Linked DNA regions of Anolis sagrei. The protein of the gene in region 2 interacts with the protein of the main gene of each other region in a pairwise test. Links are inferred from orthologs where the notes say so. Each region holds a gene or a part of one and is shown on either strand. Other genes may lie near its edges.

Region 1 (7,934 bases), on a different chromosome or scaffold from region 2:
GGATGATTCCAGGACTTTTGAAGGCACTATAGTGTTTAAGTATACAAGACTTGAGAGATTATTGTATTTCTACTCAACAAAGCAGGAAAACAACCAGTGATGGAAAACTTCTCTCAGCTCAGTTTGGAATACTCTGAAGTATCAGGGAGCCTGGGAAATTGCTCCACCCCCAAATCTGAGACACTGCTGTGGTAACAGAGATTGCTATAAAGTGTTGGCTAAAAAGCAATTAATGAATCTTAAAAATAAAATATATACATAACTTTCAAAAAGAATGACATTGGATTTGTAATTTGCCAGACTATAGTAAGCAGAACAAGTTGATATTCTGACACAGGTAATGATGATTCATCCCTAGCAAATCACACGTGGAACATTTGGCAAGGGGCTTATCTAAATTAGGACATTGTTCTATGTCAGTAACAGCAGGTCGACTTTTTGCTCTCAGGAAATGGCATTGCTAGGTCCAGCATAAGCTTCAGAAATCAGGTTATTCCTGCTGAAATCACAGCAGCCATCCTGATAGCCGGCAGTCTGCAATGATCCAGAGCAATCCATGAGAAAAAGGGTTTAGGTGTGCAAGTCAGAAATATAAAGTTTGTAAAGTTCTCCCAACTTCTTTTATTGGAAAAAAAACTGTTCCAGAGAAAGCTTTTAAACATTTACCACAACACATTCTGATGCTTCATGAACAGGATTTATTGGCATCAAGGCTCCATCTCAGCAGCCCTTCTGAATGCTGATGTTCAATTCTATTATTACTCTACACTTTTCAAAGAGGACAAAGGCAGTTTGGTATCAGCAGAGCCCAAATCCTTCATGAGTGAGTCAAACGCAGCTGCAAGTACTCTACCCATCTAGGATCAGGGTTTTCAGTCAGTAACAAACATGAGTCTACCTCTTCTCCCCACCCTCTCTATTCAATTTGTTCTCAGTAGGTTACAGGGATTCAGATCTGTGTCAAAGGCTGTAAATGTTTTGTTGGCACATTAGAAAAAAACTGTAATAATCCATGAAGCAATAAAAGATATCCTTTTTGCCTTATGGCTGAAAAGTCAGACTCTGATAGTTGCAAAGCAAATCTTTCTTAAGGGCACAGTGAAGGCAATTTCAATAACTGAACTCTCATGCAGAACTATGTTCAAATTTTATTGGAACATATGCTCAACAAGCATAGACATCTGTATCTTTGTACATAGAGATGGCACAGAACTCTCCCTGGTCCTCTAAGGTGAATAGCCATTATTGCAATAAAATATATAGATCACAGAAGAAAATCTACAGTGCAACTGAGAAACTATTGTGTGCGGAATGTAAGATAAACCCTACTGGATGGCAGTTGCTGGATCAGACTTCATTACATTCTCAAAAGTGGATGGCCAATAACCTCTCAGACAAATCACAAACAGGGCATGACATCAAGATAACAGTTTTCTGCCTCAAGGATCCCAATAATGAGGAATGTTTCCTCGCCTTTACCTGTCACAGCTAAATACCATTAATGATGTGGCATCTATATCTTCTGCTATAAATCCTGAAGCAAGCTGTGAAATGGCTTTCTATTCTTGGTTTGAAAGAATATCCAGACATGGAATAACACTACAGTCTGACATGGAGTTAAAAAAGAAACCCCCTGTTTTCACCATCACAAATTTTGTAAAGCTGTGCTCAGTTCCATCATCTGATGGAAATGAGTATTTAGAATTAGCAAGGCACTCTATTTCTTCCATGGCGGGATGCTCAGATAATTGTAAACAATACTTCTATTTACATTAACATTGAGTAGTCAAATACACAGATGCCCTTTTCAAACACACACACAAAGTACACGTGATCTCAATTTAGTTCTATTTTCACATTTAATAACTTCCTCAGATTAATTCTCTTCTTACACTTTTTAAACAGGGAGAAAGTATTTCAACTATTACTCTACCATTACCCTCCTGCTGCCCTCCAGTTCTTTTTAAGGTGATTTTACTTTTGACTAGACACTGAACCTTACAAAAATGTAGGTGAATTTGTTGGGGCACAATTCCCTGACAAAGGTTTTGGAAGTACAGAGATGATGAAAATCCAAAACCTCAATACCAGAAACAACATCCCCCTGCTCCTGGCTTTAAACTATGTCCTCTTCACATACTCTTCCCACTTCTATCCTTGCTTGCCTTCCTTACAAAAACTTGCAGCTTTCAACAGGTTTCATCCAACTTTCCAACAACATGCAGCTACAAGGGACAGAATAAGATGAAGGCAAATGTCTATATAATCAAGGGATAAAGGAGGAGATTTGAACAAGGCTCATCCCTTTTGAAAGGAAAGGAGGGGGGCCAGACCTCTTCTCCCACAGTCTCTTTAGGCAATTAATAGGAAAGCCCTCCCCTACAGAACAGGGGGCACTGTACCTGGCTCAGGATTACTCAGGTCTGGGAAGATGAACTGCTTGCAGGTATCTGGGTCCAACTGAGGTAGGCTTTTCTTGCGGCACAAGTCCGTGACAATCCGAGCTGCTGTCTGACAGTGGATTTCCTCTTTCGTGGCGGTCATTTCCCAAGCTGCATCTCCCTTTGCCTCCTACCTGGCTGACTAGGAGAGATTCCAGTGGAATAACAGCAGCACACTCACAGTGTCACACAATCTAGGAATCCACTACTGCCTGGGGTCATTCAGGCACCTCACCGCCCTGAAGGCCACTCTTGGAAGATATACGCTGAGTTCTGGGCTGAGCCTGTGCCACCTTGATGCCACTTTCAACAAACCACCACTTGCTACCGGCACCTTGTGATTGCCTTGTTGCATCCGATATCAGAGAGCTGTATTTACTGCCAAGACGTGTGCTGCACAAGGTTCCTCCTCTCCAATTCACTTTGACTCCCTCCTTGCATAGTTTTCAAAGCCAAATTCCAAAGAAGCTCTTTAACCTCTTCATTGCTGTGCCTTCCCTTCCAGGTGGTGGTGGAAGAGGCATTGCCAGGGACTTGTACGAAGCAGTAAAGCTCTCTCTGGAGCTCATGCAAGGTGGGGTGGCGGGAGAGAGAGCATTGAAATCCTCCAGCGCAGCAAAACAGCTTGTCACAACACAGAGCTGAAGCTGAGCAACACCATTGGTTACTAGACATGCTGTTTTCAGCACAAGGGAGGGAACAGGTTTTATTTATTGGCTTATTTCAGCCCTAACATGCTAAACTGCAGATTGCTAATAGGGCGCCAGCCCTGTTTTGTGCTCAGTAATTAGATCATTGTTTTAATTTACAGTACCACTTCTGGGCTCCCACTGCCAGATCAGGCTGTGCAACCAATCTGCACGTAGAGGAAGTGCCAATTGTCAGGCATGAGCAATGATCCCATAATGGGCAATTAGAACAATACTCAGTAGAAATGAATTCTGGAGTGGAAGAGAGGAGGAGGAAGAAGAAGCAAGTCTAACAACATAAGAGATGATAAGGGGGCTGCAGCCTTGTTCTCATGGATCATAAGTAAGTGGGTGTGTGGAACAATGCTAATGAACATATAGTGTCAGATAATTACCCGTTAACGTAATTTTACAGGATCATGATGAATTAGTGTAAAATAATAGCATGTTCTAATTCCAGATAGGTGGAACTTGAATATCATTGTTGCCTAAAAAAAGTCACAAATAGATGAAGAAAGCTTGGCTATGGCCTCTCAATAGTATTTTGCTTACTTCAAAGGGCAGAGAGAAAAGACAAAAACGGAGAGGGAGATTAGAAGAGTCAAATAGTTAAAAAGAAACAGAAGACTAAAGGAGGAATTAGCAGAGCCTTATAAACATATGAATAGAGTAAAGACGCTGAGGAGAGAAACTTATGCATATCTGCTATTTTGTACTTTCAGCATTAATTTCAAAATTCCACGTCGCCTGTAACTTCATTGTTAGTTTGTACGGCTTTTGTAGGATTCTGTGGTATAATTCCTGCCACTCTTGCTTTTCCCTTCATATCTTTAGTTGCAATGTCAATGGATTATACAAGAAACAAGGTAGTAACTATTCAAGCTTCTGTCTTAGCTTTTCAAGTTCTTGTTCATCTATCCTTTCCCAAAATGTACGTGTAAAATGGCCATGGCTGAGATGTATGGACTTATTGTGCTGAGCAATCAAACCTGGCTATTTTTACCACCCACTAACAAATCACACAACAAAAGGAAACTAACTAACAAAATGTGGACTAAGGTAAGCTGATGCTAAGATAAACAGATCGATAGATGGACGACATCCTGTTTGGAACTAAGCCAATGTACAGTCATACATCTTTTGTATTCTCAGGTGGGGGAGAGGAGACATAACTGTATTGTCAGGCTCACTGCACAAGTGCAGCCAGCAGTATGGTCATTGCTCAAGACAGTGCTGGTGTAGAACATGGGCCAATACACCACAAGCCATGTTGCACAATGTTGTGTGCCAATGCACATGTCCCATGTCCTGATGTGCAACCTGCCCTGGTATAGAACATATCCTGATGGACAATACATCCTATTGTGAAACTGAAGCCCCTGTTTTACAATGGGACATCCTTCATAGTGCCTGATGAACATCATGGCAATGAACTGACATGATTGCAGATTGTGATCTAAGTCGCATAGCACTGTCATCATAAAGTTTTGTATTGTAGCCTTTAGTGTATGGTATGGGTCAGATATCTTTTACAAATGCATTAGAACTAATTTCTTTATTACTGAACTACAATATTTCAAGATTAAGGACCTTATTGCAAGGGAATATACTCCATTTCTGAGACTCCTTGAACATGATTCTGAAATGGTGTTTGTCCCATTCCATCAGTAATCCATCAAGATCTCTCTGCAAAATGTTGCAAAAATGGAATAATTGCACACAGGATTCTAATCGGGTTTTTTTTAAAATAATAATAATAATATGGCTCTGAAACTGTTTTTACTTGTGATCATAAAATCAGTATGCATTCTGTCATCTAAAATCTCATGAGAACAGTAGTTTGAGACTTCCAGGCTGTCACTGCACAATATTAGAAGAATTTTTTAAGTGACAAAAGGAGGCATTTGAATGGATTGGGAGGAGCCATCCTTCCAAGGTGTGATCAATCAAAGTGCAGTATTTTCAAAATGTAAGAACTGGGTGTGATGGGGCAGTATGCATCCCATCTGAATACAGTATGCATCTCGTCCTTTAAAAAATACAAAATTCATACTGATATAAATGAAGTACAATCCTAATGTGATCAGCTCCTAGATCCTCCTTTGAAAAAATAGAATTGGCAACTAAGCGAGCTCTCCAAGCATCAAATGTCAAATCAGTCTACCCTAAATTCTGCCAGTCATTACCACAAGTCTGGCCCAAATATATCTTATATTTTCCTCCTCTTGCTTGCTCACCTTCCTCCAGATGAGTGTTAAGGTCAACACCGTTGCTACAAGAGTCACAGGTAAAATTAGTTCATGGGTGACATTTTTATCCTTCATTGATTGAAAGCCTTTTGCACCACAATGAGAATCCCCATCTATCGTGGGATCTGAAAATGTCCCATGTCCATAAAAGTGTTTTAGAGGCAAAACCAAAGGTACTCCACAATACACAAACACATTTCCACAGTTTTCATTAATACCAAACACAGAGCCAAAAAGTACACATTCACATGAGGTGGAAAATATGTTTTGCATAAATGTCAGCCCTCTTTTTGTACAGCAAAACTACCTGTGGCTGAAATTTTGGGAGATTCTTTACAATTCTTCAGGGGGCAGTGGCATAAAATCCTATCTTGAGGTTTAGTTCTTTGTGACTTCTGCAATAAAATATGAATGTGAGGGAATAAAGCATCTTGTCTGCCTGGCTGAGGGTTTGTAATTCTCTCTCAATGATATACATTGACCTCTTGCTTGTAGATGACTAAATGCTACACGGGTCAGGGATCTCAGGGTGATTGAAGGAAAATGAACTGGGAACAAAAGAAAGTTAAAGGGTTTTTGAAGCATTTACATCACAATGAAAGCAGCTGACATAACCCGGTCTATTTTTCAGAAAAGACAGTTATAGTTGACATATTCACAAAGCAATATGCAATCCAGAAACTGTATGCTCCTAGGGAAAGGGAGATGAGAATAAGACTATTTTCTGTTAGGGCTGGAGGCAGACACCATCATTTCAATGCAAATTTTGTGATTTGGATCTAGGCCCAATTCATTTCAGATTGATCCGGACCCAATCCATTCTGATTCATTTCCCAAATCCAAACTGAGATTCAGGAATTTATATCAATAGTTCTTTCCCATTGATTTACAATCTGAAACAAAAGGACTATTGGAAGACAGCAGGTTTCCAAAAAAGGCATTTGTCTTGAAATTTTGGTGCTACACACTTAGTAAACCTTGCCATTTGGTGGTGGGGAGGGGGAGCTATTGACAACTCTATTTTCCTACTGTAGTTGTATCATTTATAGTTATCTACAGTTGTGGTTTAAAGTTATTTTGTTATGTATGTTATTTCTGTTTGTTTTGTATTATTAAAATTGCTACTTAAATATGTGATCAAAATGGATGTGGTCTCCAAAATAAAATCTGAAATGAGAGACCAATCTTCTGGTCATTTAAATCAGTCTGCATGTGTCGTATGTTTGTAAAATCACATTTCCTTTATCAGACAGTGTGCCAATTCTATTTTAGTAGCTAATAAAGTTTAGTCAGGCTTGTTATGTATAGACATTGTCTTTTGCCATGACAACAATATTTAGCTCTTCCTCCTTTTCAGTCTTGTCTATCAAATAGTTAATGGCTAGTCATTCACCTTTAAATGATAATAAATGTACAAGACAATGCTGCTTGCTCTTGGTCAGCTAAATACAGGAAAAACAAAAACTAGATGTATTTCCTGCCACTTTTAATTAGAATTAGCACTGAAGATACAAACCTCTTGTTAGGATACATTTCCTCAATTGGCTTTTCCCAAGCCACAACTTTTACTGTTTTTTATGACTTGTAAGACACTTATTGGTGCACATGATGTATTATATATTGCCAATAATGTTATATTTTGTTTTCACTGGAAAAGCCAAAACATTTAGAGAAATACTAAGCTTGTTTTTGAATGGCAGCAAGCTATTTAAGTTCTTTTCCAACTTTACCTCCTTGAACCTGTAATACTGTGACTGGTTTCCTTGATTTATCTATGCCATTGTAATTTACAGTTTATGAAATAGTCTTTTCTTTGCAAATAATTATTTGGGGTACCTTGCATTAGGACTTAATTGCAGAAAGTCAGCAGCAGTCAAACGATAACTCCTGGCAACTACATATTGTCACGAGCACCTTTATTATAACACACCTCTCTATTTGCACAATTGCATCTATTTGCCAATCCATGGTCCTGCACTTATACTTCCACATACCCTTGCATCTTGCACTTCTGCTTTGGCTAATTTTAAAAAAGTGAAATACTACTGAAATTGAAATATTAGTGGTCTGGGAATAATGAGAGAAAGAGTAGGAGAGAAGGAGAATATCATCTGCTGATGTGACATCAGTGCTGGCAAGGTACGGGGTTGGCATCTGTTGTCAGAGCTTTCCTATCAATAGTTGGCACAGGTTAATTGTGGGGAGATGGTGACTGGCAATGATATGAAAATGGCCTTTGATTATGGTCCTATTTCAATGTTGGTTTGCCTCCTTCATGTGACAAAGTCCTGAGTTATTGCATTGAAGCAGCTTCTCAGCTGTGACATTGCAAAATGGTTCAGGTCCCTGCTGTAGCAAGTGGGATCAAACAAAGTGTAAAGAGAAATAGATGATTGCCTTTCATTATTTTGAAATAATGGAATGAATTGGAAATTTACTTCACTATTCTAATGTTCCATTCCCCTAGTTAGTTCAATTTCAAAAAGATAGAACTGTACAGTGGGGGGCAACACTGCAATCGTCATACCACCCTGGAACACAATGGTATTAGACAA
Region 2 (7,074 bases):
GGCAGTATAGTTATATTTATTTACTTACAATATTTATATGCTACCCTCACTCAGAAGAGGACTCAAAGCGGCTTACAAGTTGTATGTACATACATTACATTATATTATTAGCATACCACAATATTAGTATTATATATTACTATATTGTACTATACGACTATATTGTAATATTATTAGTAATATTATATGTAATATGAAATATAACATTATCTTGTATTACTATTGGCATTATATTGTATTACACTATAACATTTATATGTGTATACAATATATTATATTATTAGCACAGCACAATATTAATGCTATATATTACTACTAGCTGTACCTGCCACGTGTTGCTGTGGCCAACCTTCCCTCCCACTTTCTCTTCTTTCTTTCTCTCCTTCCTTCCCTCCCTTTTTTGTTTCTGTCTCTTCTTCTTCACTTTCTTCTGCCCCGCCCACCTTTTTTTTCAATTCCTCTTTCTCTCCTTTCTTCCTTCTCAACCTATTCTTGGACTGCAACTCCCAGCACTCCTCCTGATTGATTGATCTATCTACCTACCTATCTAGCTCTATCTAATCTATCTATCTGGAGGATTGCTGGGAGTTGTAGTCCAGGAATAGGAAATTGGAAATATGCAGGGATTGGGATGCTCTCAAAGAAATCCAAGGAGAAGAAAGCTTGCAACCTGGAAGCAGTGCATTTGGATCATCCTCCTCTCCTAAAGGGCCTGGTCTAGGGGATGCTGGGAACTGTAGTCCAGAAGAGAATGTGGCTATTGTGCATTTTGTTTGCCAGGGGAGTCATTTTTGCGCATGTGGTATAGCATTTTTGCTTTTTAAGTCCCTTCTTCTGTGTTTTTCAGTGTTTTTATGATAGTCACTCGTTGGCCTGATAGGCGTATTGTATCCAAATTATGTTAATCCCACAAAGGAACATTACATTTTTATTTATATACTAGCTGTACCCGCCACATGTTTCTGTGGCCGACCTTCTCTCCCTCTTTCTCTCCTTTCTTCCTTCCCTCCCTCCCTCTCTCCTTTTCTTTCCCTTCTTCTTTCTTCCTTCTCTACCTGTTTCTTTTCTCACTTCCTTTGCTCTTTGGTTCCATCCTTGTCTCTTTCCTTCCTTCCTTTCCTTCCTCTTTCTCTCTTTTGTTCCTTCTCGCCTTCCTTCTCTTTTACTTTTTTATTTCCTTCTCTCCTTCCTTCCTTCTCTACCTTTCTTTCCTTCTCTCCTTCTTTCTCTCCCTCCTTCTCTCTCTACCATTCTTTCCTTCCTTCCTTCTCTTCTTCTCTCCCTCTATCCCTCCTTCTCTACCCTTCTTTCTTTCCTTCCTTCTCTCCTTCCTTCCCCCTTTCTGTGTATGTGCTTTGTGTGTATATGCATATATGCGTGTGTATATATATCTGTGTGCATATATAGTGTGTGGATCATAATAAATTGTGGCAAGTTCTTGGTGGGATGGGCATACCAAGCCACCTTGTGTCTCTCCTGAGGAATCTGTACAAGGAACGAGTCGCAACAGTAAGAACTGACCACAGAACGACAGACTGATTCTAGATTGGGAAAGGCATACGGCAAGGCTACATCCTCTCACCCAACCTTTTTAACTTGTATGCAGAACACATCATGCGAGGATGTGCGGGGCTTGAGGAATGCAAAGCTGGGGTGAAAATTGCTGGAAGAAACATTAACAACCTCAGATATGCAGATGACACCACTCTGATGGCCGAAAGCGAGGAGGAGCTGAGGAGCCTTCTAATCAAGGTGAAAGAAGAAAGCACAAAAGCCGAGTTGCAGCTAAACATCAAAAAAACCAAGATTATGGCAACAAGAATGATTGACAACTGGGAAATAGAGGGAGAAAACGTGGAGGCCGTGACAGACTTTGTATTTCTAGGTGCAAAGATGACTGCAGATGCAGACTGTGGCCAGGAAATCAGAAGACGCTTCCTTCTTGGGAGGAGAGCAATGTCCAGTCTCGACAAAATAGTAAAGAGTAGAGACATCACACTGGCAACAAAGATCCGCCTAGTCAAAGCCATGGTCTTCCCTGTAGTCACCTACGGATGTGAGAGCTGGACCGTAGGGAAGGCTGAGCCAAGGAAGAGAGATGCTTTTGAGCTGTGGTGTTGGAGGAAAGTCCTGAGAGTGTCTTGGACTGCGAGAAGATCCAACCAGTCCATCCTCCAGGAAAGAAAGCCCGACTGCTCATTGGAGGGAAGGAGACTAGAGACAAAGCTGAAGTCCTTTGGCTACATCATGAGGAGACAGCAAAGCTTAGAGAAGACAATGATGCTGGGGAAAGTGGAAGGCAAAAGGAAGAGGGGCCGACCAAGGGCAAGATGGATGAATGGCATCCTTGAAGTGACTGGACTGACCTTGAAGGAGCTGGGGGTGGTGACGGCCAACAGGGAGCTCTGGCGTGGACTGGTCCATGAGGTCACGAAGAGTCGGAGACGACTGAACAAATGAACAACAACAACAATGGTTGTTTAGAGGCATTTTCTCCTGACGTTTTGCCTGCATCTATGGCAAGCATCCTCAGAGGTAGTGAGGTGTGGTGTATCTATATCGTACTATACCACTATACTGTAATATTAGTAATATTACATGTAATGTAAATATACATGACTATATTGTATTATTATTATTAGTATTATTATATTGTATACTGGTGATACAGGAATGAAAGTTGAGAGAGGAAAAGGGTTGAGGTCTCCATTGGATGACCTTGCCATTCCTTGAGACCTGGGCCTTCCTCACAGGGCTGTTGTGAAGTGAGGGAGACTCGTGCCTGCCACCTTAGGAGGAGGAAAGTCAGGATTAACCATGCCATTAGCAGATAACATTCCTGAAAGCAGAGCCATCACCCGCAGTTCTTGTTGAGCTCACCTTCCCATTCCTGGGGCTGCCATTCACAAACAGGGTGACTCTCTTCATCTCTTCTCCTTCTTCCCTCAGAGTGACATGCTCTTCCCCGCCTGGGTTGCAAACCCGGAAGCCGAAGTTCTTTCCCTGACTCAGCCTATTCACCAATCCGCAGCAAGCCTCGTTCTCCTTCGCCCAATAGGAACTGCGATGCACATTGTAGGCGGGACTTTCGCCTTAGAACAGCTCCAGCGGGAGCCTATCAGAGCGCAATGTTTTTCCAGCTGAGGGAGGGGCTACTTTGCATAGGGAAGAGGAGCGCCGCTTCTGATTGGTTGTTGATCCTATGACGTTGAATTACCAACGGTCGTTTGTCGGTTAACGATGTCGACGCTTCCGCGTGGCCGGCTCTCCTTGAAAAGTAGTCCCTGGGATGTGGGCGGTGCCTCTTCTCATTGGAGGAAAGACGTGGGAGAGTTTTGGTCACGTGAGACACAAAACTGGCCAGAATTCAAGGGAAGTCGGGAATAAGAATAACAAAGAGTCTTATTGGAGAAAAGGCGGAGGGATACGTAATTGCATCGCGAGGGAAGAGGCTTGTTTGAATGGAAAGCGCGAGGAAAAGGCAGTCGCTCTGAGGCGAGTGAAGGGAGAAGGTGTTTGTGTTGAAGAAGCTTTAATGAGGCCTGTTGTTGTTGTTGGCGGCTAAAGGCCACAATGGCAAGTGTGTCTACACAGCAGACAGGCGCCTCCCCGAAGGGCCCCAACGCCGTGGAAAGGCCCACTTATTGGACCCCTCGCAAGAGTGGATTAGGACCAAAACCAGGCCTTGAAAGCCCCGCGACGCCGCTAGATTTCTCTACCTTGAAAGCAGCTGATTTTGGCATTACCCCGGAGTCGTTTACAAAACAAACGGAAGGTAATGTTCCAAGAAATCTGGGTTGTTGTAGGTTTTTTCCGGGCTATATGGCCATGGTCTAGAGGCATTCTCTCCTGACGTTTCACCTGCATCTATGGCAAGCATCCTCAGAGGTAGTGAGGTCTGTTGGAACTAGGAAAAAGGGTTTATATATCTGTGGAATGACCAGGGTGGGACAAAGGACTCTTGTCTGCTGGAGCTAGGTGTGAATGTACCAGGTTTTTTTTTTTTTGGTCGTGTCAGGAGTGACTCCTGTTGTGAGAAAATTGGCCGTCTGCAAGGATGTTGCCCAGGGGACGCCTGCATGATTTTTGATGTTTTTATCACCCTTTTGGGAGGCTTCTCTCATGTCCCCGCATTAGGAGTTGGAGCTGATAGAGGGAGCTCATCCGCCTCTCCCCGGATTCAAACCTGCGACATGTCGGTCTTCAGCCCTGCCGGCACAGGGGTTTAACCCACTGCGCCACCGGGGGCTCCATAATGTTTCAATTGACCACCTTGATTAGCATATAATGGCCAGACAGTGCCTGGAGCAATCTTTTGTTGAGAGGTGATTAGATGTCCTTGTTTGTTTCCTCTCTGCTGTTGTGCTGTTGTAATTTTTGAGTTTTTTTAATACTGGTAGCCAGATTTTGTTCATTTTGATGGTTTCCTCCTTTCTGTTGAAATTGTTGAAATTGCCCAGACACGAATCAAGGAACATGAAAGGCACTGCAGACTACTTCAACCAGAGAAGTCAGCCATAGCAGAGCACCTGATGAACCAGCCTGGACACAGCAGATTATTTGAGAACACAGAAGTGCTGGACCACTCTCACAACCACCATGTCAAGCTACACAGAGAAGACATTGAAATGCACAAGCATGTGGACAATTTTAACAGAAAGGAGGAAACCATGAAAATGAACAAAATCTGGGTACCAGTACTAAAAAACTAAAATTACAACAGCACAACAACAGAGGAAACAAACAAGGACATCTAATCACCTCTCAACAAAAGTTTGCTCTAGGCACTGTCAGACCATTATGTGCTAATCACGGTGGTCAGTTGAAACATTCACACCTAGCTCCAACAGACAAGAGTTCTTTGTCCCATCCTGGTCATTCCACAGATATATAAACCTGTTTTCCTAGTTCCAACAGACCTCACAACCTCTGAGGATGTTTGCCATAGATGCAGGCGAAGCATCAGGAGGGAATGCCTCTAGAACATGGCCATACAGCCCGAGAAAACCTACAACAACCCAGTGATTCCGGCCATGAAAGCCTTCGACAATACTTTAAAGAAATCATATGGCAGTCTGTGTCGTGTGTGTTTAAGGCAGTGTTTCCCAACCTGGGGGACCTGAAGGAGTTGTCAAAGATGATTAGAAAACATTATTTTCTGTTGGTCGTTCTGTGTGGGAAGTTTGGCCCAATTCTATCGTTGGTGAGGTTCAGAATGCTCTGATTGTAGGTGAACTATAAATCCCAGCAACTACAGCTCTCAAATGTCAAGATCTATTTTACCCAAACTCCACCAGTGTTCACATTTGGGCATATTGATTATTAGTACCAAATTTGGTCCAGATCCATTTTTGAGTCCTCAATGCTCTCTGGATGTAGATGAACTATAACTCCAAAACTCAAGGTCAATGCCCACCAAACCCATCCAGTATTTTCTGTTGGTCATGGGAGTTCTATATGCCAAGTTTGGTTCATTTCCATCATTGGTGGAGTTCAGAATGCTTTTTGATTGTAGGTGAATTATAAATCCCAGCAACTACAACTCCTAAATGTAAAGTCTATTTTCCCCAAACTCCGCCAGTGTTCACATTTGGACATATTGAGTATCCATGAAAGTTTGGTTCAGATCCATCATTGTTTGAGTCCACAGTGCTCTCTGGATGAATTTGCACAACTAAAACTTGTGCGCCAGCTGCGCCCGTATCTTGGGAAGGCTGACTTGGTCACGGTATTCCACGCTTTGGTTACATCCTGTTTAGACTACTGCAACGCTTTCTACGTGGGGTTGCCTCTGAAGACTACCCGGAAGCTGCAGCAAGTACAACGTGCGGCAGCCAGATTACTAACGGGTGCTGGGTATAGGGAGCACACCACTCCGCTGTTACACCAGCTCCACTAGCTGCCAATTAGTTTCTGAGCACAATTCAAAGTGCTGGTGTTAACCTATAAAGCCCTAAACGACTCCGGCCCGGTTTACCTCTCTGAATGTATTCTCCCCTACAAACCATCAAGATTACTAAGATCGTCTGGAGGGGCCCTGCTCTCGGTCCTGCCGACTTCACATGCGTGGCTGGTGGGGACGAGGGACAGGGCCTTCTCGGTAGTGGCCCGGCAACTCTGGAACTCTCTCCCGTCAGAGGTTAGAACTGCCCCAACAATCCTGACATTCAGGAAACAGGTGAAGTCGTGGTTATGGAGGCAGGCTTTCGAAGAATGAAACAATGATCTGCATGGAAGACGGTGTATATTCGATTTTAGTATGACGACTGACCACTGTAGTTTTAAATATATGTGCTTTTTAAATGTTTTATTGCAATGTGTATTTTGATATTTTACCGATTGTATGTGTTTTTATGGTTGGAAACCGGGCTGAGTCCGTCTTATGAGGTGAGAAGCTCGGTATATAAAACTTTTAAATAAATAAACAAATATTTATTTAAAACTCAAGGTCAATGCTCACCAAACCCTTCCAGTATTTTCTGTTGGTCATGGGAGTTCTTTGTGCCAAGAGTGGTTCAATTCCATCATTGGTAGAGCTCAGAATGCTCTTTGATTGTAGATGAATTATAAATCCTATCAACTACCAAATGACAAAAACACACACACACGCAAACACACCTCTAGATTTCTGTCAGCAAATGTGAAAGCAAGACAACAAAAAGAAAGGAAAAAACAGGACAGACAGGTGGTCTGTCAAATTTGGGTGTATCAGGTATTTCTGCAATTACAACTCCCAAATGACAAAATCAATCCCCACCAGTATTCAACTTTGGGCGTATCGGGTATTTATACCAAGTTTGGTCCAGTGAATGAAAATACATCCTGCATATCAGATATTTACATTACAGTTCATAACAGTAGCAAAATGACAGTTATGTCGTAGCAACAAAAATAATGTTATGGTTGGAGGTCAACACAACATAATGAACTGTATTAAAAAAAGGCTGTGGCATTAGGAAGGTTGAGAACCACGGTTTAAGGGGTAGCCATGAATGATTTTGGAGGCATGTGTGAGTAAGCCACATAATGTTGAGTTGTAAGTTTTCTGGGCTGTATGGCCATGTTCCAGAAGCA
Region 3 (7,437 bases), on a different chromosome or scaffold from region 2:
TTATCCGACACTTCAGTTTAATTTCCATAGCCTTGAATTGTCCCAAATTGGCAGAGACAATCCCATTTAATTTTCTGCCACTTTTTAACATCTTTTAAAATGTCCCAGTTTCTCTATCCTTCATCCATTTTCCTTTTTAATCTTCCGCTTATTTCAAACTTAGCTGGAAACTGAATTGTTTACATTCAATAAACTCAGGGTGGGATGCAGGGGATAGGAAAGGGTAGAATTTTGCTCTTCCCTGTAGGCTCAGAGAAAAGCAAACTGCAGCATCCTTGCTCAGCCTGAATGTTCACCATGTTTGCCACCTTGACTACACTCTGGTGTTGCTTAGAAACACATATCCTGGTTTCATTGGTGAAACGTTGAGAGAATGGATCTCATCTGGGCCAGGACTATTGCAACTGTGACTAATAAAGGTTGCGACCTCTTTTTCATATCCAAGTAGTGACTGTATGTGTTTATTTGCCAAAACGTCACTCCTCATGGCCTCACTGCTAGGTACTACCATTAAAACTCTGACAGGAAAATATCTGATTTGTTAGATCACTCTACTGCCATCACAATGTGAAATTATAGAAGGCACCCACATGATGAAATCATCCTGAAGAAGAACAACAACGAAGGGAATCCCTCTCACGTATGTGCTGGAAGCTCCTGCCTTTCTCTGTTACTTAACACTAATCACTGCTTACACAACGGGTTTGAAAAAACCCTTGGCAAGGTGGAACTGCATGACCTACCTCCTAGCACTTCACAGTCACTGTCCATGCTGTCGTGAACACCTGCAAAGATGTTGGCAATAGTTGTTTTGCCGACTCCTTGTTCCCCTATAAGGACCACTCGGTAGTAGCTATTTCCCGATTCAGATGAGATGACGGAATCGGAAGACTCCGATGACCAGCTCCTTCGGTAATACTCTTCAGGGTTGATGGTGTACCTTTTCTGTTGGTTGGACTCATGGGGGTCTCTCTGGACCACCAAATGCCTTGCGTCTGCTGGGATGCTCCAGCGCTGCTGCTGGGATTGCAAGGCACTACTGTTGTGACGCATCGTGACATTGTTCAGAGTCATGGCTTTTGTCCCCTTTTCCTGGTTTAAAAAAAGAAGAACCATGGAATAACAAACATTACTCATGACAACATGGCTGTGAAAAGGCTGGCTACCTTCTTGTGTGTTCTTGAAATGTGGTAATCTCAGCAGTCATATCTCCAGTGGCACAATTAAGAAAACAGTCCACAAACTGTGAAACGTTCCTCCAGTGAAGGGGCAATTCTTGTTCTGAAAGTTGGGGGATAATGATGTACTCATACTGGAGTTTACCAAAGATTTACTCTATGGTTGAAAGTATCTGGAGATAATTCTAAGTACCCCCACCAAATAATAAATTCTAGAATCCCTGAATTATGACATTAATTTTTCACAAGCACAGAGCTTAGAAAAGTAGCTGTTGTTGTTATACATTTATATCCCACAGGATGCAATTAAATTCCAATGTACGCAGACTGAAAATTAAAACCCTTGTGCATTTACAGATGCATATGATATTATAGGGCTCCAAAGTTACATGTTTGGACTATTAATTCCAGCTGAGGGATTCTGGTAACTATACTCCAAAAAGTACTTTTCCAAGCTTTGCAGTTTTGGGTGGTTAATACTGGATACTGTTCTGCAAGTAGCTAATAATACCTATAAGAAATACCCTTTGGTTTTTCCATCATTTTAGTTAACATTGTATACCTGAGTCCCTTATTTTCAGCTCCCTAAAAGTGTCGGGTCCAAAGTCTTGTAATGAGGAAAAGGAAACATTCCAAAGGAGCAAGGACAACAGATGTTATTAAGTTTTTTAAAAAGGCTAATTACTTGGAAAGGTTTTAAAACCAGTGATCTGAGTACTTTCCCCTTCTCTAAAGATGGCTTGTACAACTTCTGGAAAGAAATATTTGGCACTGGAGGGAGGCAATGTTGTGAGGTAATTCCTGGTGGCCAGTATCATCGGCAGCTACCATTTTAAGGAAAGTTGCTTTGATGCTCTCCAGCTCCCAACATGACAGTTATTTAGACATTTTGCTTATTCATGTTGAAGCCTGAACTTTCTTAGTTCACTTCTCATCTCTCTATCTAACAAACAAAGCATTTACTAGGGAAGGAACGAGAGAGAGAGAGATCTGAGGTAAGTTTTTAAAGTTAACATACAGATGGGTCTGCAAGTTTTTCAAACTCTGTGTGTCATTCAGAAAAAGGGAATTTCAAAGAGAGGCTGTGAAACAAATATATTGCAAAGGAAAGCAGAAAATTCTGCTTTAGATTATTTCAAATTCAAAGCATGTATTTTTCTGCATCTTCTGCCACTACCGGCAAAAACACCAACTTTTACCCTCATTTGAGCAAAAAAGTAATGGGATGCTCACACAATACTATCTACTGTACAAAATGAGACAGGTCCTTTTTTATTCAGCTCCTATCAATCTGTAGAACTATAGATGATACACAACTCATCTCTGTATAAGTGACACACTCTCACACTATTAACAACCTTCCTCTAGGTAGTATGGACGAGAACAACACACTAGCATGCCTTTGACTTAATTCACATAGCATGCAGACTTTGTTGTTTGCTTCTCTATACTGCTAAATAGTGCTGATGATTGCTATCAAGGAAATAAAGTTAGATCGGCTGCAAACTTCAAGCTCTCTATCGCTCTACATTTCCCCGTTATCAATTTCCATGCCTACAACGCTGAAGACAAGTAGTCAAATGAAGTCTTGTGAAACCAATACTACCTTGCTGTCTTTCAGAATCTCCTGTCTCAACCAGAGTCAACACTCTTGGTCTCACTCCCTTTGTCAGAGAGTTGGTGGATCTTGAACCAGTCTCCCACGGAAAATCCTTCCTCGGTCTCTGGGGCCGCCTGCCTCTCTAATTCTTTCTCAGCAAACCTGGTTTATATTAAGCCCATCTGATCAGAGACAGGGCTTTTCCGTGACGTCGTTGGCCTGTCCCTTCAACAGGCAGCCCTCAGCTGGACGGAAGCAGGCATGCAAGGGAAAGGGAGGGAGAGCTACCAGTGATAGCAAAATAAATTCATTCGCAGGCAGGCAGGCATTCTTTTCTTCTGCTTCTAATGCTGGTAAGTGGACTGCCCACTCGGTTCCACAAGGGCACCAGCAGAAAAGTAGCCAAACTATATTTCGTAACTCCTTTCCTTTCTGCTAAAGTGCTGTTGAATGAGCAGTCCTTCAATATTACTTTGGATTCATAAACACAGGAAGCAATCAATTGAAATGCCAGGCTATAGTGGGAAATAATAGATAAATAATAGCCCAGCCTACCATGGATCCAGGAACTGTGGGGAGAGAATTGGGGTTCGAGCCTTCCCTCACAGTTGATCTGTCGAAAGAGGATCACAAAGGCTCCTACACAGCTGACTCGTCAGGAATTACTAACCAGAAGTGTCCTAAAAGGTCAAGCCCTAAGAAACATGAAGGCAGCTATTGTTGCTGAGCTTTTCCAGGAATAATAAAGGCTGCTGGCGATTTATCCTGCTTACTTACTTGGAAGTAAGTGACACTGAGCATATGGAGGGCAGGCAGAGCTGGATTTAAGACAAATGAGGCTCTGTGATAGTTAAGTTATGGGGCCCCTGACTTGGGCCCTGAAGGAGGGAGATCCAGTAGCCCTACACTGCCTGCTTTGTGGCACACTCCCATAGACGATCATCTCTATTATATCTGGAATCTCTCTGAAACAGAACTCTTTCAAATGCAGAAGTGCACCACATAAGCAAAATCCATCATATCAAATTTGGGGAAGGGGGGGGGGGAGATGTGTCCCTCCCCCCAGCCAATGGTACCCTGTGCTTAAGCACATCTAGGCACAATAGTAAATCTGGCACTGAGAGCAGGGCACTTCTCAGTGCACACTGTGCTTGTAAGAGTCTTCATATTTAAGGCTATTTGGGTGATACCGGATGGGCAAAGTAATTGCCCTTTCCCTGTAAATAGGCAAAATTACTAATAGTGTGATTGTCAAGGTTGAGATCCCCCACCTTAAAAACAGCTCTGGGATCCCCAATAATTTACCATTAGCAATCCATTAGAATGTTGCAATGAATCACTTTTTATATAAGAGCTGGGCATGTTTAGCCTGCAGAAGAAAAGGCTAAGAGGAGACATGATGGCTATGTATAAATATGTGAGGAGAGGTCATAGGGAGGAGGGAGCAAACTTGTTTTCTGTTGTCCTGGAGACTAGGATGCAGAACAATGGCTTCAAACTAAAAGAAAGGGGATTCCACCTGAAAATAAGGATGAACTTCCTAACTGTGAGGGCTGTTTGGCAGTGGAACTCTCTGCCCCGGAGTGTGGTGGAGGCTCCTTCTTTGGAGGTTTTGAACTGAGGCTGGATGGCCATCTGTCAGGGGTGCTTTGAATGCGACTTTCCTGCTTCTTGGCAGGGAGTTGGACTGGATGGCCCATGAGGTCTCTTCCAACTCTATGATTCTATGTTTCTATGATTCTATAGTTTATCCCATCTGATTCAGAATGCTAAACAAGATCAGGACTGGTAAGTAGTACTTGTGTAGGAGGCTCTCAATGAATACCAGGTGCTGCAGACTATATTTCAGAGGGGTTCAATGGCAAGCCACCTCTGAGTATTCCTTGCCTGGAAAAATTCTATGAAATTAATTGAATTGCTGTAAGTCCACAGGCATCCTACATAACTATTTTTATAGAGATTTCTGGTGTGATGTATGGTTTGAGCATTGGTTCAATTTCCCACTTGGTCATGGAAGCCCACCAGGTGACCTAGGGCAAGTCACACCCTTGGCTGCCAAAAATGTCATGATAGTATTACATTAGGGTCAGCATAAGTTAAGCGATAGTTACACCAGGGATGAGAATTATATAGCCTTCAATATAAATGTTTCTCAGGCTGTCTGATGTAGATGTCCAGCAATGTTTTGTTTTCCGAATGGGTCAGAGACTGATGCCATATTTGGATCCATTGGCTACAACTGTTTTCTTCTTTCTTGGAAACTCACCATGGATCAGAAGATGATGGTTCTTGGGTTGGCATCAGCCTGTGGACTATCACTTTGAGTTCAAGTATTTTGGACTACATCTCTCAGAATCCCTTAACACTATCCATGCTGACTAGAGTTATAGTTCAGTAATAACTAGGAGGGCAGCATGATTCACCCAATCCAATTTGCAATCATGATTTCATCTGGTGTAAGTCATTCCTACTTATATTATGAAGTGTCTCATAGAGAATTTTTAGCAGCTTCACCAAACTTCCATTCCCAAGATTCCTTGGGGGAAGCCATGGCAATTAAACTGATACAAAAGTAAAATAACCTTGTAGTGCAGGTTTAGTCAGCATGTTAAATGCAACTTGAACATTGAATACAAATGCCATTTTGGGGAGCTAAACCACCCATCCATCCACCACATAATCTAGAACAGAAAGAGCAAATATGTTGAGGGAAGGCACTCTCAGATCATCTCTGTATGATTCAAAGCAGCAAAACAAAGTAAATTTATTACAGAGCCAAACTGAACACCATTCCCCCCAATGATAAGTACCAACAGTCATTTTTATGATCAAATGAGTTTTATTCTATGTATTGCAAACATATGTGTAGTATATGAACCCACTAATTTTCTTTTAAAATCAGCCATGCAATACTGTAAGAGTTGACCTTTCATTAAAAAAAAACCCTTTTAGAATTAATTTGGTGTTGCTGAGCACAAAGACTAATTAGATACTTAGGGAACACTTGGTTTTTTTACCCAACTTGGTAGTTTAGTGGGCTTTGCTTTTGATGTTGCAGGTGGTTTTTCATGGCAGCCTGACTGGACCACTGTGTTCTGGAATTAGAAGTTTGTGTACATTTAGCTCTTATTCAATCGATCCTTTTCCCCCTTGGTCTTAAGCAGAACCCTTCCTGGCAGAATAATCTAGTGGTTTACAATCATGAGTTACAAAAAGGCTGAGGTTTCAGGCTACGACTTCCAGAATTGCCAAACAATATAGCCACACATCATGGTAGCTAAATGGCATTTCCTTGTTCAGAAGTGCTATACCACCCAATAGAAAATGTGGGAACTATAGAAGCAAGGCATTACATAGAGAAAAACGAAGCCGTATTAAACTGAGTTAGACTATTGGTCCAAGTAGATCAATATTCTGTACATTGACAGACATGAGCCCTCTAAAATGTTACCCAGGATTCCTTCTCTGTCATACATGAAAATGCCATGGTTCACACCTGGAACCTATTGGCCTTACTTCGAATCATCCTCGATATATTTACCTTGCTGTCAATGAAAATAAGCAACATGTCCTCAAAAGATTTTTGGAGGATGCTGATTTTTTTAATCCATTTCAATCCGGCTTCAGGCCAGGGCATGGGATGGAAACAGCTTTGGTCGCCTTGGTGGATGATCTACTAGGGGAACTAGACAAGGGGAGTGTGATGATGCTGGTCTCGCTAGACCTCTCAGTGGCATTCAATACCATCAACCATGGTATCCTTCTAGAAAGCCTGGTGGGGATGGGACTTTGAGGCACTGTATTGCAGTGGTTCTGGTCCTTCCTCTTGGGTCATCTCCAGAAGGTGGTGTTGGGGGAGTCCTGCTCAATTCCATAGCCCCTGGGCTCATCATTATCCCCAATGTTGTTTAACATCTACCAGAAACTGTTGGGAGAGATCATCTGAACCATTGCCTGAGGGTGGTAATGGACTGGATAAGGACAAACAAATTGAAGCTTCATCCAGATGAAACAGAAGTACTGCAGGTCTCGCGGAAGATCGATCTGGAGATAAGGTTGCAACTTGAGCTGGACGGGGTTACTCTCCCCCTGAAATCTCAGGTTTGCAGTTTGGAAGTGGTTCTGGACTCCACCTTACATCTGGAAGCACAGGTAGTGTGGTGGTGGCCAGGGCTGCCTTTGCAAAATTAAAACTTGTATGCCATTTCTGGAGAAATCTGACTTGGCCATGGTAGTACACACACTGGTTATATCCCGTTTGGACTACTGCAACGCGTTCTATGTGCCCTTAAAAAGTTTCTAGAAACTGCCATTTGTCAAGCAAATGGCAGCTAAATACCTCATTGGAGCTGACTCCAGGGAGCACAACATCTCGCTGCTGAGACAGCTCCGCTGACTCTCAATTACCTTCTGGGCTCAATTTAAGGTGCTGCTTGTAACCTATGAAACCGTACATGGTTTCAGTCCAGGATATTTGAGACATAGTTTCCTACTATACAAGCCGGGTAGATTATTAAGATCAAGTAATGTAACGTTCTTCTCCACTCAGTTCTTCTCCACTCAGCTGTCACTTAACATTGGCTAGAAATGGCACATTCTTGGGCACGGCACCAAAAGCTTGGAACGCTTTGCCAAAAGCGATAAGAGCAGCCACCTGTG

Evidence for each region.
Region 1: the proteins of KCTD9 (region 2) and SYT6 interact in binary tests that used the Homo sapiens proteins (3 or more experiments, as listed by UniProt). The two-hybrid records come from large-scale screens. The link is inferred for Anolis sagrei from reciprocal best matches to the Homo sapiens genes KCTD9 and SYT6.
Region 3: the proteins of KCTD9 (region 2) and GEM interact in binary tests that used the Homo sapiens proteins (3 or more experiments, as listed by UniProt). The two-hybrid records come from large-scale screens. The link is inferred for Anolis sagrei from reciprocal best matches to the Homo sapiens genes KCTD9 and GEM.

What each region holds. Positions count from the first base shown.
Region 1 is NC_090024.1:202,976,098-202,984,031, forward strand, and holds the start of SYT6 (synaptotagmin-6), read right to left. Parts: upstream 3,073-7,934; 5' UTR 2,545-3,072; coding exon 2,403-2,544; intron 1-2,402.
Region 2 is NC_090027.1:6,177,952-6,185,025, forward strand, and holds the start of KCTD9 (BTB/POZ domain-containing protein KCTD9), read right to left. Parts: upstream 3,005-7,074; 5' UTR 2,929-3,004; coding exon 2,881-2,928; intron 1-2,880. Other genes in the region: CDCA2 (cell division cycle-associated protein 2), read left to right, coding at 3,574-3,775. UniProt on the Homo sapiens protein: Substrate-specific adapter of a BCR (BTB-CUL3-RBX1) E3 ubiquitin-protein ligase complex, which mediates the ubiquitination of target proteins, leading to their degradation by the proteasome.
Region 3 is NC_090024.1:34,049,158-34,056,594, reverse strand, and holds the start of GEM (GTP-binding protein GEM), read right to left. Parts: upstream 3,073-7,437; 5' UTR 2,785-3,072; intron 1,093-2,784; 5' UTR 1,075-1,092; coding exon 744-1,074; intron 1-743. UniProt on the Homo sapiens protein: Could be a regulatory protein, possibly participating in receptor-mediated signal transduction at the plasma membrane. Has guanine nucleotide-binding activity but undetectable intrinsic GTPase activity.